Linked DNA regions of Caenorhabditis elegans. The protein of the gene in region 1 interacts with the protein of each later gene in a biochemical or structural test. Each region holds a gene or a part of one and is shown on either strand. Other genes may lie near its edges.

Region 1 (10,641 bases):
TTTACAATACGTCAAGATCGTCCTTACATGCTAACGTCTATGAACAACGTTAAAATTATTATTTTAACATGAAAATATCATCAAAACATAAAAAAAACAAGCTGTTAACAGAGAACAACTGCGAAGAATCATTTTATTTAGAATGGGTAGCCGAATTTTAGGACAAGCCTTTTGGCGCCACATATTGCGTAGAAATGCACACGCAAATGACTGTTACAGTAACCTTTCGAAAGATTTAAATTAGTTTTTATAAAATTGGATTTTTGCAGTGAAGAATATATTTAACAATGCCGTCTTTTTTCTACACGAAAAAACGTTTTATTGGTGCATTAAAAAACAAAATTAAATAATAATTCATCATTACCACGAGAAATTAGAAAAAATTCTGCAGAGCTTCGTTTTGGAAATTTTTTAAATGTGGTATAAACACCTGTTTCGCATGCTAGGAACAATCGTTCACATTTTCCAGTTAAAATTAAATTATCGAATTTGTTGCTTGAAATTTAAAAACTATAACGCCATCCTGAACTCTCCGTTCTATGCACCTTTATTGCTTTATTTCCAATTCAATGTTAATGCCAAACAATTTTATTGGAACTTATTTCACATGTGTCAGTTGAAGAATTTCAAATAATAAAATAAATAAGGACAAATAGTTAAAATTTGAGCTGTGTTCGACCTCTATTGTTTAGCACGGCGAGCTGAACGCAGTAGAGGAGTCTGAAAATAAAACACCTCGTTTGAGAAATCGTATTGCTGAAAATATTACCGCAGCCGTTTCTTTTCTCTCTTCTTCACCCTCTTCAATATTTTCCAGAACGGTTTTGGGCGGTCTTCCTCTTCCGCGTTTTGGAGTGGTTGGCTCTTCCACCTCTTGTTGTACATCAATAGATGATGCTCGAGATCTCTGAAAATAATAATTTTGAAAAAAAATTATGTTTTGGGATCATACCGTCACACTTCTAGACTGTTTACTGGTACCAGCTTCATTAACCGCGGCATTTTTCTTTTTTGGGGTCTTCTGCTTGCTATCATCATCGATCGATTCGGAATTTGCTCTGGATCTAGCCGTTCGTTTGGAAGACCGTGTAGGTGTGGCTGGTTGTTCGATATCTGGAGAGGATGAACGATCTTCTTCATCTTCTTGATTTTCGAATATCGATTTAGGCTTGGTGCCACGCTGAAACGAAAACAAATCAATTTACAATTTATGAATACAACATTTTTAATTCAAAAAAATAATTAAAAATGCTTACAGCTTTACTTCCAACTTTAGGAGATCCTGCATCCTTTTTGGCGGGTCTTCCTCTTTTTGGCGTCGTCGGTGCCGATTTGTCGTCCTGATTAAAGTCGATCGTTTCCGAATTGCCCCTCTTTCTAGAAGTTGTACGTTTGGTAGAAGCAAGTGCAGATGACGATGGGTCAACAGTTGTATTTTTGACAGATGCAGAGCGAGTGCTTCTTGATGCAGGCCGTTCCTCCTCCGCTTCTTCTTCTTCTTCTTCTTGAACTTCCATTGTAACCTCTAGCGGGGATGGCATCTTTTGGATGATCGATTTTTTACCGCGCTGAAAATGTTCGAATAGTTGTATGATTAAACGATTAAACAACGTACAGTTACACTTCCAGCTCTACTAGAAGATGTACTAGCTGCAGCCTTTTTCGTGGGAGTTCTTCCGGTTTTTGGTGTCGATCTTCCATCATCTTCAGACGACTGCTTGCTAACAACCTCAGAAGTTGCCCGAGTCCGACGCCGAGTTGTCATCGCAACCGACGTCTCATCTGGTTCGGCAACAGTATCATTCCTAAGCGATGTGGAGCGAGTTCTTCGTGACGCTGAACGACTTGGAATTTCAGACTCCAAAACAGATTTATTTGCTGCCACTGTCTTCTGGGCTGATGCGGATCGAGTATTTCTCTGGAAATATTGAACTAAATTTTTAAAGAAATCACGAGAGACTTACTGATGGAGGTCTATCTTCCTCGATGAGTTCCTCTGGCTTCTGGTCTTTTACCTTTGATGAAGATTTTTGAACAGATGCCGACCGCGTATTTCTCTAGAAAAATACACATATAAATTTCAAATTTTAAAAACAACTCACGGATGGTGGTCTATCTTCTTCCGTGACTTCTCCTGATTCCGAAGTTTTCTCTTGGTTAGATGATTTTTGAACAGACGCAGAACGAGTGTTTCTCTGAAAACATAAATTTTATTTCTGTCTGTCAAATTGATGACGAAACTGACAGATGGAGGTCTTTCTTCCTCGACAAGTTCTTTCGGATCCCGGTCTTCCACTTGTGAAGTAGACTTCTGGACAGATGATGAGCGAGTGTTTCTCTGAAATATACAATTATTGCCGTTTTTCCTCAAATTTTATTTTATGGTATCTTACAGATGGTGGTCTATCTTCCTCAACAGCTTGTTCTTGAACTTTATCCGCGGTATCTTCATCACCTGTCGGAACTATGTCAGGCTCTTCCTGTAACTCTTCCTGCAGTTTAATAGACGATTCGAGAGATTCGTTTTGAGGCTCTTCCGGAATCACTGGCTGCATAACTTCAGGTTCTGGCTCTTCCTGTCGTTTTTCAGTTTTTTCAGGTTCTTTCGCATCTTGCTGAACTTCTTCAGATTCAACTACCTCTTCTTCATTCACTTCTTCAGATTTACTCTCCAAATCATCGGCTACATCAATCGTTGGTACAGCTTCACAATCCTCATCCATTTGAACCTCGAAAGATCTTTGAACTCCATCCCATATATCTTCATCTTCACCTTCCTCCTCAAGAATACCCGTTTTATCGGTTTGTAAATGACTCAAATATGTCTCATCGGTTGGTGGCATGACGTCATCATCTCGTACTTCAAACGTATCTTCCATGGGAGGAGTTTCCGAACCATTTTCTGTATTTGCAGCTTCTGGAGCAGATGTATCTTCGAGAACCTCGAAATCGTCTTGGTTTTCGAAAGTTTTCTCACTTTCAATGCATTCATCGTTTTCTTGTTCTTGATCTTTTACTTCTTCCATCTCATCCACTACATTTTTCTCTGAATCCTTCTCCTCGTCATGTTTTCCCATAGACCGTGATTTTCTAATAGTCATGGTTTCCTCTTCTTCATCTTCAAGAATTGCAAAGTTCAATGCAAGGCCTTTCCGACCATTGTCTTCAATACTCTCGTCAGCACCTCTTGGAACGTCAGCACGGAATCGGATACGGCCTCGACTAGCCGATTGGCCACCTTTAGCTGTTTTCAGAATACTGTTGTGAGCAGAGACTGGCGGCGGTCTGTTTCCAGCGGGCGATAGAAATCCATCTTGAACATTTTCCTCCTCATTATGTCGCTTGTAATACCGTGCCGGTGTTGCAATCATCATATTGATTTCTGCATTTTGGTGAGAATCCGGACTTGTGATACTGTTGATACTCGAATTGTTGGCAACAGATTCGACGGCACTCTTCCACTGTTGAATTCTCTTCGCGGTCTGTAAATTTCAGAATCTTGGTTTGTACTATTTAACTGCAATAATCTTACAGGTGGCACATATTGTGATGACGAAACACTACTCTCATCGTCTTCACCAAACTGACTTGATTTCCGCTTTCTTTCTGTTTTGTCATTGACAGAAGCGAAAACTTCAGGCATATCTTCGTCGTCGTTTTGCACCTTTCTCTCAAACATTTTCTTAACTGAAATTTCGATTTCCTGTTCTTTCGCAGTCTTCTGACGACCTCTTCCATCCTTCTTGATCATTCCTGGCAGGAAAGCCGATAGCAATTTGTTGGAACTAATCGCTTCTGATGACATTGCTTCAAACTTTTCGTTTTCAAAGAGAAACATTTGGTAGAGAATCTCAGATTCCGGATCGAGAACTGGCACTGGAAATTAAAAAAAATTAATTGGAAATGAGACTGAAAATCTATCTCACATCTAACTTTTCCACCTTCCATTTGCATTTTCATTCGTTGTTCAAATCGCTGTAAATCGTGTTTTCCGATTGTCACTGTCATCGGAGCATCTTTTCCCCACAATTTCTCATAACTAATCTCGTCATCTTTCATTGAGAATACTTTCTCTCCAAGTGCTCTCATATCATCCGATGTCTTGCTGCTTGTTAAAGCCTTCTTTCCTTGGTCCAGAATGTAATAAATTTTCTCCAAGTTAACGTTAAGCATTTGATTTGTCATGATTTTGATAGTTTCAAGTGCCAATTGTTTTTCGCTGTGTTCAGAATCTTCAGGAGATGTGGAAATCCAATCAATGACATATTGGACAACGAGTTCTCGTTTAATACTCTCAGAAATCGAAACATTCAGCAGGCATTCCAGCAAATCGAGAGGTGTTGGCGGATACCATTCGTCATGTGGAATATCGTTCCAGAATTGAGCATTTGGAGCTTGACGATTCATTTTTCGAACGACTGATTGAACGGGTAGAGATGATCTGAATAATTTAATCGTATAACTTTTTCTTAAAAAGGATTTTTCTAAACTCACGAGTTCTTTCTCGCCATATTTTTTCTCTTTGAATGTAAATCCTTCATTCTTTGCTGTCTGATCGGGTCTACAGGAATGATGGCAAAATTGATGAATTGGCTGGTAAGTTTCGTATGGTTTCTCATACATATCACAGAATGGGCCAAATTGCGAAGTCGATCATCTTTTAACGCTTTTGAACAGGCTTTCAGATATTCGTAAACAACTCGGAAAAGCTTGATTCCCTGTGCAATAGATTCTTCTGCTAGTGGAGAGAGAGCAAGTGATCTTCCCTGGAAGAGTGAAACCATCTTGTCAGAAATAGTTCTCTTGTAGTCAACAGCTTCGTGAAGTGCCCATTCTGCTAATTCCCGTTTTAGCGTGTCACTAATGTCAGGACGAGATGCCAATTGACAAAACTCTTCAATTTTTCCGTAGTAGACGATAACGTTGAGAAGAACCTTTTGATCAGACGATAATTGAAGTTCGTTTATTTCTGCGGCGCTCTGAAAACAATTTCATCAATTTAACTTTAAAAAATAAGCTCACCGAATTGGGAGATCCAGACAGAATATTTTTTCTCACTAAACCAGCTGCCATAACAACGCTGGAAATCATTTCGGGATTCCTGATGAGAGCAGGCAGTTTGACGGCGCATTTGTTCAAAATCTGAAAAAAAAACCGGAATAAAAACAATCTCAATGCCGATAAATTTACCGTGTCCTGGATGTTCTGGATCTTCATCCAGTCAATTCTGGTATTCTTGGCAACAAAAACCCTTTCGAAGCTTAATGCTGACGGATAAAACAGTTGATCTGCGTCTGAAACCATGCTAGAGAAGCTGGATACATCAGTGGCCTCATTTGTAAGAATTCCGATGTCATTTACATCTTCTGATCGGATGTTAGACTTTATAGTTGATAAGAATGCACATTGCTTGAGAACAGTTCCATCTGTAGATACTCGACCGGGAACTCTTTTGTAGTACCATGAATCTATATCAAAAATAGCTGCTTCCACAATGTATTCTGGTTCAGCATTCGGGTCTTCTGTGCCGATCACCATCTTCTTTCGTTCGTATGCCAAAAGAACAGAGTTTCGATTAGAAGTTGATCCGAATGTCTGAGAAACATTGTGCATCGAATCTTCCGTTCCTCGCTTTCTTGTGAGCATCATATGATCTCTTTCAGTAACAATAGGATTCACAGCCAACCATCTTTCTCCGAACAAAATCTTATGTTCTAGACAAACACTGAATGATGGACGGTCGTACTTTTCTTCTCCATCAACATCCTCGAGAGTTTTGAAAGATCCACGCCAAAGTTGAATCATGATTGGATGACGAGGTGAACAATCAACAGTGGCGATGAAATACTCAAATTTGTCGGGATCATCTTCTGGTTCTAATGGAGCAATTTTTCTGACAAGTCGTTCGTGTCTCAATTCCAAAAGCATCATCTGATTTGAAGGATTCAATGAAGCTGCCAGAATGCCTCCCATCGATAAACCGACAAGAAGAGTTCGACTTCTTGGCATCAACGATAACGCTGAGATATACACGGCGGCGGTTGGGTATTCACGATATGCTCCATCGTCCAAAGTGTACTGAAGAACTGAACCGCTGACGTAAGCATCTGAAACACACTAATCAAATTTGTTTAATCTTCGGGAAACTTACTCATTAGGTTGATCAAATACTTTTTCTCACTGTGAACTGTGATGACAGGACTTGACGGCGTCTCAACAGCAACTAAACGAGCTAAGTAGCATTGTGTCTCCTTGCAACCTGGAATGTAAATTTGCAAAGTTTTCATTCAAATTTGATTTATTACCAATTGCCACAATATGCTGCCACGTCATCAGTCGATGATAGAGCTTTAAAACTGTTCTCTGTGTTTCATCAGCCATGTCGGCAGACGAAAAAAGCGTCTTCACAACTGTAATTTTCGATGGAACTTCCAGTGAGTGTGTGATTGTCATGGCTGGTGAATCCGGATCAACTGCCAATGCAAGAACAAAGTGCTCGGCACCGCACGACTGACGAGGATCTTCAACACCAACAAGAATTCCGAGCTTTCCTTCTGTAAATAAAATATTTTGAAATCAATAAAGAAAATATGATAGTAATAAAAAACTTACCTTCTGTTGGAAAATAGTCCGCATCGATCAAAGCACATCCTTCAGGGAAAACGAACGAGTGAGTTACGCGTTCCCATTCGATATCGAATATTTGACACGTATTCTTTTTAAAATTCACAATGTAGGGAAGTTGACGACCTGAATGAATAGAATAATGTTGAATCGATAGAAATATGAAATACCAATTGAATCCTTCAAAATAATTTGCTTTTCTCCCCTCCAACACTCGTATCCTTGATATGATTTGAAAATGGACGAATTTTCATTATCCATTCTGAAAAAAAATAAACCTTTGCACATCGCAGCTAATAAATAACATTTAAAGAAGTGAGACAAAGAAATTATCAATTAAAATAAGTGGTTTTAGAAGTGCGTAGCTTAAAATAAGGGCTCGTCCGACTACATTCAAACGACCGGGAAAATTTGTTTTCACCAATACGCAAACACCGCAACGGAAACATACGGACTGCGAAAACAAGCGAAAATGGAAAATGCTTGCAAAGGTTAGAAGACGCAACGAAGAATGTAGAAATTGAATGGAATTCTTAAATGAAAAAAATCAATTTGAATGATTTAAATTGGAATATAATCCATATTACATCATTATCTTAAGAGAAGCACATACTTAAAATGACGTAAACCAACTTTTTAGCATTTTCAAATGACTTCTAAAAAATTAATGGAAACCCTTAAGAAACATACATTTTTTGGAGCAACGAGCGTAAAGACTGTTTTACTCAAGAAATGATAAAATGATAGGCGCATCGCGAAACCTTGTATTTTTTGAAGAAAAACCTTGTTTATTGAGTGAATAAAATTTGACTAATTGTAAAGGAACTTTTTACGAGAAATTCTTCGAAAACAAAATTAACCATCCGCGAAAAAAAAACAAACAAAAAGGAACCCAAAACAGGATGCAGGGGCGGGACCTATTCGCAGCCACCGCACACTTTTTTCGCAAGCCTCGCACGTTTTTTCTTTTGAAAAATGCAACAATATCATGGAAAAACGTGCGAGGCTTGCGAAAAAAGTGTGCGGTGGTTGCGAAATAGGCCCCGCCCCTACTCACGCGTGGCCACGTGGCACACGGCACACGTAGCGATTGAAATAAACAAATTATAACTTAAATTAGTTTGTGAAATCGGTTTCTCTCCGACACACGCGTCACTCAAAAATGCGTATTTTGCGTATTTTGTTTTCATTGGTAATCTTCGGATTAATAGTTCATGTATTGGTGAGTTGCCTAGACATCCTTCGATTTTTCTAGACCATAATGTTTCACCATTTTTCAGCCAACAACCACCACACCAAATGTGCCTGTTTCCGCCGCTACGAACACTTCAAACGTGACCGCTCCTGCCGGCAATTCGGCAAAAAGTCCTAATGCGACCGCTCCTGCCGGCAATCCGACGAAAAATGTAAACGTGACCGCTCCTGCCGCCAATACGACGCAGCTTGCTCTTGTGAGCTCGGCGAGCCCTCAAACCTGCAAAAATGGAAACGGCACACACTGCCCGTCATGTGCATACACGATCAATGTTCACAAGGACACGCCGAAGTACATCGGATATGGCATCCTGATCGCCTTCGTCATTTTCCACATTTTTTTGTATTTCTACCTCGAGGATCAGAAGGCGAGGGTAAGTGAAATTTTGCCAGTGGCCTAGCTTTTTATTGATTTAAGTTATATTTAATGAAAAGCGAATTGCGTACTACACGTGGACAACTTTCAACATACGAAACCTTCTTTTCAGGAGCAGAAGAAATATTTTGAGGAGCTCATCGCTGAGCAGATGGCGGCTAGGAAGCGAGAAGAACAAGACGATCAGCAGCACGAGGATGAGGAGAAGGAACGCCGAGAGCGGTTGGCTTATGGAATTGCCGCGAATCCGGTACGTTTTATTATCGATTTTTTTGCAACGTGGCCTAGAAAAAGCGAGAGCTCGGCCAAGATCTTTGAAGGTGGCCGAGTTTTCGCATTTCGCGGCCACGACGTAAAAACGGAATTATTAGCATTGAAAGAGAATTGAAAAAACGCAGTTTTAAATTTCAGTATGTGGTAGCAGAGAGCAAGACTCCCAATGGAAACGTCACAAAAGTGATGGAGAAACGACGATCCGCGGTGGCCCCGCCCATCACACCAGCCCTCGGAGCAGGCTCGACCAACGGACCATACGAGAGTCGGACCAAGACCGCTCAAAAGGAAGAAGCAATGAGCTGTCACTTGCAAGTGATCGCCGACAATTGGGGACGTGGAAAGGAGCTCATTTCGCTCATCAATGATTTGGATCTCCCTGCGCCGCTGGTGACGACAGAGGAAAAGGCGCGGTACGCTTTGGAGCTCGTGCAACATCATGTGGAGAAAATGACCGAGCAGAAGGTTTTCCTGCACGGATATCTTGATGATGGACCGCCGTTCGTTTGCTCATCGGAGACCTTGGCGAAGGAGATCTTCAGCGATGCCCGTCTTGAGCTGAAGCTTGAATTGACGTCGCCGGTGCACATGAAGATGGACGTGTTCTCTGTGAAATTGGAGCCACAACAGAAGACAGTGCTGCCAGAACCCACCAAGGAAACGCCGAAAACCGACGCTCTCCTCACACCGGGATCTCATGTAAGTCTAAAGGCACACGCTGGGTCTCACAACGATTTTTGTTTTCAGATTAAGGGAAGATCAATGGCGGCTGAATCGTCGAAGCGCAAAGCCCCGAAGGTGTCCACTGATTTGACGAACTTGGTCCCACTGCTCCAACAAGCTCAGATGCTTCCAGTCACCGAAAAGGCAACCAAGGAGAAGCTCCAGACTCCGGTTAGCTTAAATCTCATGATCTTTTTATCTAAAATTTCAAATTTTCAGAAGCAATCGCCAATGCCAGGCACCCCGGAAAATACGTCGCTCCCACCGTCCTTGATTAAGAAGAAGAAGAAGGAGTGGACATCGGAACAAGCAGCGCCGGAAGCGGTCGTCACTGTGGACAAGCCACGCGATTGAAGTTCTTCTGAGCCCCCGACCGCCTCTCAACTCCTCTCAACGTTCCCCACAATTGTATTATTTATGACCTCGTATAGTCCCATTCATTTTTCAAACTCCCCGTCCGTATTTATTTCCCCACACAATTTCACTTTTATTACTTTTCTCTGACAATAAATTTTTTTTTGTCAAATTTTGTTCCTCTTTCGACATCAAGGAACTTTCAGTTTAATGATTTAGTGGATTTAGTGGGTTACTGTAGCTCTTAAAGGCGCACTCATTTTTTTACGGGCGAAATTCAGGTGTTTCTAGGAAGTCTGTTGCCATCATATTTTATCAGATTTTTTTGACCGAAAAATTTGTTAGTCGATGCACCATGAGTTTTGTTCTCGATGTTCTTCATTTTTGTGGGATTTTCTGCAAATGCAGAAAATTTGTCGATGCACCATGAGTTATTCTTCTGAATTTTCGTCGTTTTGAAGGTTTTTTCGATGCACCGTGAGCTTCTCAGTGTTTCTAACATATTTTTTATATATATATATTTCTAAAGAGAGTTTTGTTGTACTATCCATTATATAAAGATAATGTTCAAACTTTATATAAATCGGATTTTCGAAAAAAAAAAGAAACAGCGGAGATCAAATAATTTATGAGTTTCTTGGGAACAAGAGACTGTCATCATCGTCTGGTACAGTGTCGACAACGATCGGACACGGTGGCGGGCTATTCGAATTGTCATCGAAAACGGAGAGGATGGCCGCCTCGTGAACTTCTCCATCGCCAGAGTCTTCAAGGAAATCCTGTGGGAAGCTGGAAAGCAGATCTCCATTGGCCGCCATGTGCATATCATTGAGCATATCGGCCGCGGTTTGCTGAAACTGAAGAATGGTTTAAGGAAGCCACGTGGAGTCATACAGTCCCTTTTCGCTTTGATCTACGAAAAATGCGGGAGAAGAGACGCAGACATCTTATCTGATTTTGCATGATTAAGAGCGTTCTGACGTCACAATTTTTCTGGGAAAAAATTCCCGCATTTTTTGTAGATCAAACTGCAATGA
Region 2 (7,919 bases), 3.3 Mb from region 1:
TGAAGACCGAGCCACAACCACCTTCACCTAGTTTTTGAACGACCTTAAGTACTCTTATAGATCAACTAAATTTTGACATTTTGATTAATGCCAGTTGGCAGGACCAACTCACTTACTAAACCACCATAATCTACGCGCAAATTCCCGCAACTCACCTTGTATCTTTTCCCGACAACCGCTCCAATTTCTAGCGTCTCTTCACCAACGTCTCCCGGCATTTTGCGCTTGAATTGAAAATACTACTTGATACTACAAAACAGATCAAGTGAATTTTGAAAAATGAATCAAATAGCCAAAAATGTGGACACTTTGTACGTGTGGATTTAATTGAAAGTATAAATTTTGGAATGAAAAGTTCAACACGTCGGTCACAAGGACTTTTTATTGTTAAAGTTTTGGTAAATTGCCAAAATTTTCAAAAATGTTCGAGCCTTTAAAATGTTGAAATACAAAAAATTGGAACGCAATTAAAATATTTTTTTTTTTTGCCCGACTTCCAAATGTTATGACAGGAGAACAATGAGTTTTCACCACTTTATGGCTGAAAATAAAAACATTTCAATAATTTTTTTAATAGTTTACTATGCCATTCGGAAATTTTAGCACTATGAAACTGTGAGGTGCCAGTAGTATAAACTTCCAGTAATTTTGGTTGTCAGAAAGCAAAAAGTTAACTTGCCTGCCTTCGTGCCTACCTTAAATGTTTTAAAGCGTCATTCTTTGAAATTTAAAAAATGGTTCATTTTTTGAACTCACGAACTCTAGACTTTTCCTCTATTAAAAATGTTCCCATATTCCTTATAAACGTGCATTTTTTCATCTCTCTTCCGCCTCTCAAACTCTTTCAATTGGCTTCACTTGTTGTCGGGCGGTCTCTTCAAGCTACTCATTGAGCCATTTATACCTTCATCTGTCTGGACTTTCTCTTCTCTGTTTCATTATTTTCTAAATTTCATTTCCTTCTTTCTCTTTTCTGTTAGAGTTCCTTTTTCCTGCTGCATAATTAGTAGGTTGTCCCACTTCAATTTTCGATATCTCGTGACTCGCCGCGGCGCCGAGGCTTTACGTTTTCAATTTGAATATAAATATTCATTTTTGACTCACAGCTAATATATAATTTGATAGAGATTCATTTTTCAAAATACCACATAATTTTAGTTTTTAACCCAATCTTTCAGATTACCTAGATGTAAATATTTACAACAACTTTCAATAGTTGACGTAACACCCTTCACAGACATGTTTATTTGGATAGTTCTTCCATTGTTTCATCGTTTTTTCTATTCAAATTAATCAAAATCCAATATCCTAAACCCTTCGCCTTTTTTCTTAATCGCCGACCCACTGGTGAACAAACATTCAGATTCATCTCTTTTTGGCACATTTCAGAAAATGTTGCAACCCAATTTTCGTCGGTTTGAACCTTCTTACAGCTGGAAGTCTCGGGAAAAATCTACTGAAAATCGGGTTAGTTAAAAACTTTAATTAATTTAACTTTTTTTAATGGTAGATTTGCTATTCAAGAAAATTTACTTTTTTAAGGGATTTCTATCACGGATGTGTGGAATTAAACAGGTATAGTTTGACTCGATCTTTGCAATAAACTAGAAATTTTTTCATTTAGAAAATGAATAAATACAACTGTCGTGGGAAATATCAAGAGACCAATGACCAGAATTTAATGCAAGATTCAGGATATTCACTGAAAATTATAAGCTCTGGTGATGAACAGGTTTTTAAATTGAAAATAATCACATTCCTCATAATATTTTAATTAAATCATAAATTTTTAGATTACAATTGTATATACAAGTCGACTAGGAAAAATGAAAGATCTCCAAGTTCCGGAGATTGAAATTTCAGGAGTTCTTTTGGAAAGATTGGAAGCTTGTAATTATAGGCTTGACGAGCTTTTTATAGACTTGGTAGTTAAAAAATTAATCTGAATTCCGCGTATTTTGATATTTCAGAAAGCAAGCAAATGTATTTGTAGTTCGAATGAGCTTTTGAACATTCCAAAAATCATCGTTAGAAGGCTTTTTCTAAAAATGGAATCTCTGGAAATGTTGGAGTGGTGGATTGAAAGAGTTGATCCGAACTCTCTAAATGAGCTGTGTATTGCTCCTCATGGAGAATATCCACTTGATATTCCGTCCAAGATATTTGATCTTCCACATGTAAGTATGTTTATTTTTGAATATTTTTGGTACAATACATTTTCAGTTCCAAAATTGCAAAACACTGAGTATTATGGAGCACTGTTCTTTCTCAACCGACCAATTTCTAGCATTGTGTATTGCAATTCCAAATTTTTCTTTTTATTCGGACAGAATTGATGAAAATATAGTTGCTCATGCGATAAAGGTATTGAAAATCATCATGGAATGAAGAATTGTTATTTTTCAGAAACGTCTCAGCTTAAATGATCAATTTGTTGTCCTAGAATGGTTTTTCACTAAACACGTGAATGTTGAAAAAGTCACAGGAGATTTGAAGTGTACGAATTATGATAGAAAGTGAGCAGAAAACTGATGTTAGGCAAACTAGAATTAATTTCAGAGAGCGCTTTGATGTCAAAACTGAGTGCTTCGAGCCAGTTGATGTATACAGTGTTCCAGATGAGAATAACAAGAAAACGTCCTTGCTGGTTTTGAAAGATTCAACTGACAATTTCAAACCGTATAACATTGTTGCGTTTTCATAATTTTATGTTTTGAGATGCCGTCTTGGAAATATAGTGTTTTTGAAGCTAAATATCCTATCTCATGTATTAAATAAAATTGTTATAGTATCTCTTTCCATCCATTTTAATCGTCAAAGAAAGGCGTGTAAACCACGAAAACTTACCACTAATCCAAAAAGAGAAGCTGCCTTCTCTCCAAATGACGGTAAGACGTGGAAGACACGTGGTAAAAATGTATTACGTACGCCATAAAATATACGTATTAATCCATTTAAAATTAATTTTTCTTTTATTAACATCTGGCATCGTTTAACACACGTGCAAATGTTCTGTTACAAGCCCAAAAAGGTTCGTTGCTAATTTTTAAAACATTAATGTACAAAATTATTGCAGAAAGTACATTGAATAATAAATTTTTCAATTTTTAAAACCGTTTTTTAAATCAATGTCTCCGTGATATTTATGTTTGACCAGAAAATGTTTGATCGATGACAGCGCGCTGTTTTGTTTAGCACCCTTTTTCATCGGCGCGTAAATCGACACACGGTTCGCTGCGAGACCTGCGCCCGCCAAGCATCAACATTCGAATTTGCCGTCCGCCATTTTCGTCCTAAAATGACTTTTACCGATTCTTTTTCAAGTTTCCAGCTCGCCTCTTGTCATTTTTAGAAATAAAAACGTTTATTCAATTATTAATACTGAATATTTTAATTTTTGTGTTGCATTTCAGATGAATCGACTTCCCAACATTGCAAAACCCCCACAAAAGTCCAACCAAAGAAAGGAGAAGGCTCCACCAGAGGTTCCCGCTCTCATCGCCGACAAGGATCGTGGGACCTATTATGAGAAAGGACGATTTTTGGGCAAGGGAGGATTCGCTCACTGTTATGAGCTTACGAATCGAGCAACACGCGAGGTTGTCGCTGGAAAAGTGGTTCCGAAGTCGATGCTCGTCAAGCAATACCAGAGAGATAAGGTAGACAATGAACGAATCTTAGTTCAGTGCATATTACGATTTTTCAGATGACACAAGAGGTGCAGATTCATCGAGAGCTTGGACACATCAATATCGTGAAGTTATTCAACTTCTTCGAGGACAATCTCAACGTGTATATCACTTTGGAGTTATGTGCAAGACGGTCGCTGATGGAGTTGCACAAAAGAAGAAAGGCGGTCACCGAACCTGAAGCTCGTTATTTCACTCATCAAATTGTGGATGGCGTGCTGTATTTGCATGATCTGAACATCATTCATCGTGATATGAAGCTTGGAAATCTTTTCCTCAATGATGATCTAGTTGTCAAAATTGGAGATTTCGGATTAGCAACAACGGTCAACGGTGATGAGAGAAAGAAAACGTTGTGTGGAACGCCAAACTACATAGCTCCGGAGGTTTTGAACAAAGCTGGACACTCATTTGAAGTTGACATTTGGGCAGTTGGATGCATTCTGTACATTCTTCTTTTCGGACAACCACCATTCGAGTCTAAATCGCTTGAAGAGACATACTCACGCATTCGCCACAACAACTACACCATTCCGTCGATCGCAACACAACCAGCAGCAAGCCTAATCCGCAAGATGCTTGATCCTGAGCCAACACGTCGTCCGACTGCCAAGCAGGTAATTTCAATAGTTTTGAACTGGAGTGAAAATCATTTTAGTATTATCGGAGATTCGAGTTTCATCATTAGAAAATTTGTACTTTTGAATTTTATCGTGAACTTTTATTGAGAGATAGTTCACGTTCAGTTTGATTGCCCTTCGTTCTAATTAGTAAAGAGATCGAAAACAATTTTTAAAAAATCAGTTCGAATATTTAAATAAGTTATGAAATCTCTTCAACTCGGAATGAAAACCCTACAGGTTCAACGCGATGGCTTCTTCAAGTCAGGATTCATGCCGACTAGACTTCCAGTCTCCTGCCTCACTATGGTGCCAAAGTTCGGAGGACACGAAACTTCGATGATGGAGGAAAATGTTGCTCCAAGAGGGGTTGATGCTCGTTCACAACGCCCATTGAACGGAAGAGCTGGATTGTCTGCCCTCCCACAACACATCGTGTCGAACAATGCCGATCGTGAGCGTGCTCAACAACAAGCTGCAGAGGCGACTTTCCGGGAGCCCGAGGATGCATACCTTTCACAACTTTTCCACCAAGTTGCTGTGCTCTTAGAGCAGCGTATTCCAGGGGTAAGAATAAACAAGAGGTTTTTTTTAAATTAAAAGTTTGTTACAGCTGGAAGAAGAAGAAGCTGCTCTTGATGGTTATCAATCACCAGAGTGCCTCCCGGTTTTCTGGATTTCGAAATGGGTTGACTATTCGGACAAGTATGGCATCGGATATCAACTATGTGACAATTCCGTCGGAGTTCTCTTCAATGACAATTCTCGTATCATGCTTGATCAAGCTGGAAACGAGTTGACCTATATTGAGAAGAGCAACAAAGAGCACTACTTCTCGATGCACTCAGGTGAAATGCCTGGATTGCTCAACAAGAAAGTCACATTGCTTAAGTATTTTCGATCCTACATGAATGACCATTTGGTGAAAGCTGGAGAAGGATCTGAACAAAGAGCTGGTGATGACTTGGCTCGTTTACCAACGCTTCGAGTTTGGTTCAGAACCAAATCAGCAATTGTTTTGCACCTTTCCAATGGAACTGTTCAGATAAATTTCTTCAATGTAAGCAAATTCATAATTTAATGGAAACACCCAACAATATAATTTTCAGGATCATGTCAAGATGATGATGTGCCCATTAATGCAAGCAGTTACATTCATCGATCAAAACAAGCGTATGCTCACCTACAAGCTGAACAATCTTCAGCGCAATGGATGTCCAGAGGTTTGAATCGCCATTTCAGTATCAACAAATATAACGTATAATTTACAGAAATTCCTTCACCGACTGAAGTATGCGAAGACAATGATCGAAAGGTTGATGAGCGATGCTAACGTTGTATCCCAGAATCCAGCTCGTCAACCGGATATGCCACGGTCAATGGCAGCTGCTCGTTCAGCTTCGGCAGGATCACGAGGACCAAATCAAGCTGCATCGCACCTTCCCCAGTCGGCAAGTGGATCCAATATTCACCCACGTCGATAGATCCGTATGTGCTCTTTGCCACTTCCATGAATTTGCTTACATCTCCTGATTAATTCCAAGAAGTATTATTCTATACATTTAACCCGTACTCTTCATTTATTGTTGCTGTTTTTCATCGACCCTTTTAGTCCCATGTTTCAGCATCCAACATGTCTTTATTCCCCGTCCTCGATCTCCCGTAGCTCATTTCATTGTAAATACTGATGAGACCCGCTGTAGCCCTTTTTCATTCGTTTGTATTCATGGGCGAGGCGATTTTTATTTTGCGTTTTTATTTCTTTTTGCTAATTGAATCATCTTTTTTTGGTATTAGTCCCACGAAATAAAACGTACCGATGATTATTAAACTGTATTCTTCATTTTTCCAAACTTTCTCGACAATTTCATTTTTGGTAGATAGCAGCACATTGGGAAAAATCAAGTTGAGCTGCTCATCTGCCTCAACTTTCCATTTCAGAATTTTCGAAAAAGCGTGTATAATATTTACTGATTCCGAGACAATTATTTGAACATGATTGTTACAAAGATCACGGTCGCAAAGTAACAAATGTTCTGTTTAATTACTTGCCACTCTGAACAGTTTCCGTCACTTATTTTATATCCAAACAGGTTCGATTCCAAATAGTCTCAAATTATGCCAATGGGATCTGCTTTACTGTAACAGTTGGACATAAACTGTTATATGAAATCAAAAATACAATAGTTTAAATTGTTTTTGCTCTCTGCTTGAATTTTGGATTTCTAGAGATCTAGAGCAGAGCTGAGCAGCCGGCCAAAAAAATCGGCGATCGCCGATGAAATTTTTTTTTCGGCGATCGCCGATCACAAATTGCCAAAAAAAAATCGGCGATCGCCAATTGCCGATTGCCGATCAGTGTGCGTCTAATTTTTTTCAATTTTAAAATCCTAATTTTAAGAGCTCTTTCAAATAATTTTTTATAAAAACAGGAATATTAGGCAACGAAAAGCACTCCTTGATACCTTAAAATTCGAAAAGTAGTGAAAAATAGTCCGAAAATATACCTTCTTCCTTCTTCAGAGGGGTCTATCTTGGACTATAAAATTTCATCGGCAATCGCCGATCGCCGACCCGTTTTTCCCTTTCGGCGATCGGCGATCGCCGATTGCCGCTCACCCCTGATCTAGAGACCATCGATAGCGCATCATCGTCAGACCTGCCTCTTCACCTATGCGTAGGTAGACCTACGACCACCGTTTGATCAACCACAGATGCGTCTCGTCCACAGTAACTCGTTACTTTGTTATATTCTTTTTGATATAATATTTTCCCGTTTCCTCTCGCCCTTGTTTTGTTGGACCCAATGTCTATTTGTTTTGTTGGTCCCATCCCCTATAAAAGGCTTTCTTGGATGTTTTTCCCACGTTCTTATCTTTTTATCCCTGTTCCCTAAGCCCTTTCCCCTTGTCGTTGTTTCTTGTTGTTCCCCTCATAAATTAATTACTTATATAAGACAACTTTTACTAAGCAAACGCAAAGTTTAAAGATTTTTGCGCCAAAAATACAGTACCCGGTCTTGACACGACATTTTTGTTAAATACAAACGGAAGTGCGCCTTTAAAGAGTACTGTAATTTCTAGCCTTAGTTGCTGTGGGATTTTCTTCGATTCTTCGTGGTTTCTCTCACGATTTTTGTTTAAAAAAATCTAAATATGCGTTTTCAGTTGTTTTATTTTAGTTTTGTAATATATAAAATTTTTTAAATGAGAAAGAAAAAAAAAAAAATTTTTAAATGAGAAAATCGACGAAATTCCGCCGTAACATTCTACTGGTTGCATATGTAATCCTGAATAAAAAGTCAAACATTGAAAAAAAAAACAAGAAATAGGATTGAGAAGGATCTTGTCGATTCCTTTACAATCAGGTGTATAGTTTGATTCTCTCGATTTTCCACTAACATCTACAGTTTGAACTTTATCTTCAAATTCGAGGGGTTTCGGAATGAGGGAACTGAGGGGAACCGGTCTAATTGAGAGATTTCAGAGAATGTTGCATTTCATGTTGAATGACGCTTCTTCTTCTTCCCCTTTTTGAATGAATAACAACTGTTGTCCAAGAAAACGCCGACGGACGACGCAATTGATGGATCGAAGGAGGGTGAATCCGT

The links.
Region 2: the proteins of mel-28 (region 1) and plk-1 interact in a test that uses a peptide from one of them, tested with the Caenorhabditis elegans proteins (one study listed by BioGRID).

What each region holds. Positions count from the first base shown.
Region 1 is NC_003281.10:4,782,325-4,792,965, reverse strand, and holds mel-28 (Protein mel-28), read right to left. Parts: upstream 6,887-10,641; 5' UTR 6,886-6,886; coding exon 6,795-6,885; intron 6,751-6,794; coding exon 6,613-6,750; intron 6,555-6,612; coding exon 6,306-6,554; intron 6,260-6,305; coding exon 6,152-6,259; intron 6,108-6,151; coding exon 5,191-6,107; intron 5,143-5,190; coding exon 5,023-5,142; intron 4,980-5,022; coding exon 4,495-4,979; intron 4,442-4,494; coding exon 3,927-4,441; intron 3,877-3,926; coding exon 3,533-3,876; intron 3,483-3,532; coding exon 2,394-3,482; intron 2,339-2,393; coding exon 2,246-2,338; intron 2,196-2,245; coding exon 2,103-2,195; intron 2,058-2,102; coding exon 1,965-2,057; intron 1,919-1,964; coding exon 1,616-1,918; intron 1,569-1,615; coding exon 1,257-1,568; intron 1,181-1,256; coding exon 953-1,180; intron 908-952; coding exon 770-907; intron 721-769; coding exon 682-720; 3' UTR 575-681; downstream 1-574. Other genes in the region: enu-3.2 (ENhancer of Uncoordination), read left to right, coding at 7,787-7,846, 7,905-8,252, 8,367-8,504, 8,666-9,226, 9,275-9,421, 9,470-9,604; C38D4.10 (WRKY transcription factor 14), read right to left, coding at 10,231-10,440. UniProt on the Caenorhabditis elegans protein: Nuclear envelope protein which has essential roles in assembly of nuclear pore complexes and in chromatin maintenance during the cell cycle. Appears to be a stable structural component of the nuclear envelope during interphase.
Region 2 is NC_003281.10:8,097,935-8,105,853, forward strand, and holds plk-1 (Serine/threonine-protein kinase plk-1), read left to right. Parts: upstream 1-3,413; coding exon 3,414-3,659; intron 3,660-3,706; coding exon 3,707-4,306; intron 4,307-4,549; coding exon 4,550-4,876; intron 4,877-4,922; coding exon 4,923-5,369; intron 5,370-5,418; coding exon 5,419-5,532; intron 5,533-5,580; coding exon 5,581-5,793; 3' UTR 5,794-6,135; downstream 6,136-7,919. Other genes in the region: K06H7.8 (Putative serine/threonine-protein kinase K06H7.1), read right to left, coding at 1-43, 156-218; K06H7.1 (uncharacterized protein), read left to right, coding at 1,393-1,467, 1,543-1,575, 1,625-1,732, 1,794-1,925, 1,971-2,177, 2,224-2,364, 2,407-2,516, 2,560-2,704. UniProt on the Caenorhabditis elegans protein: Required for oocyte nuclear envelope breakdown before entry of oocyte into spermatheca. In meiotic cells, required for spindle dynamics and probably for spindle attachment to the chromosomes. Zygotic role in the development of the germline and nerve cord.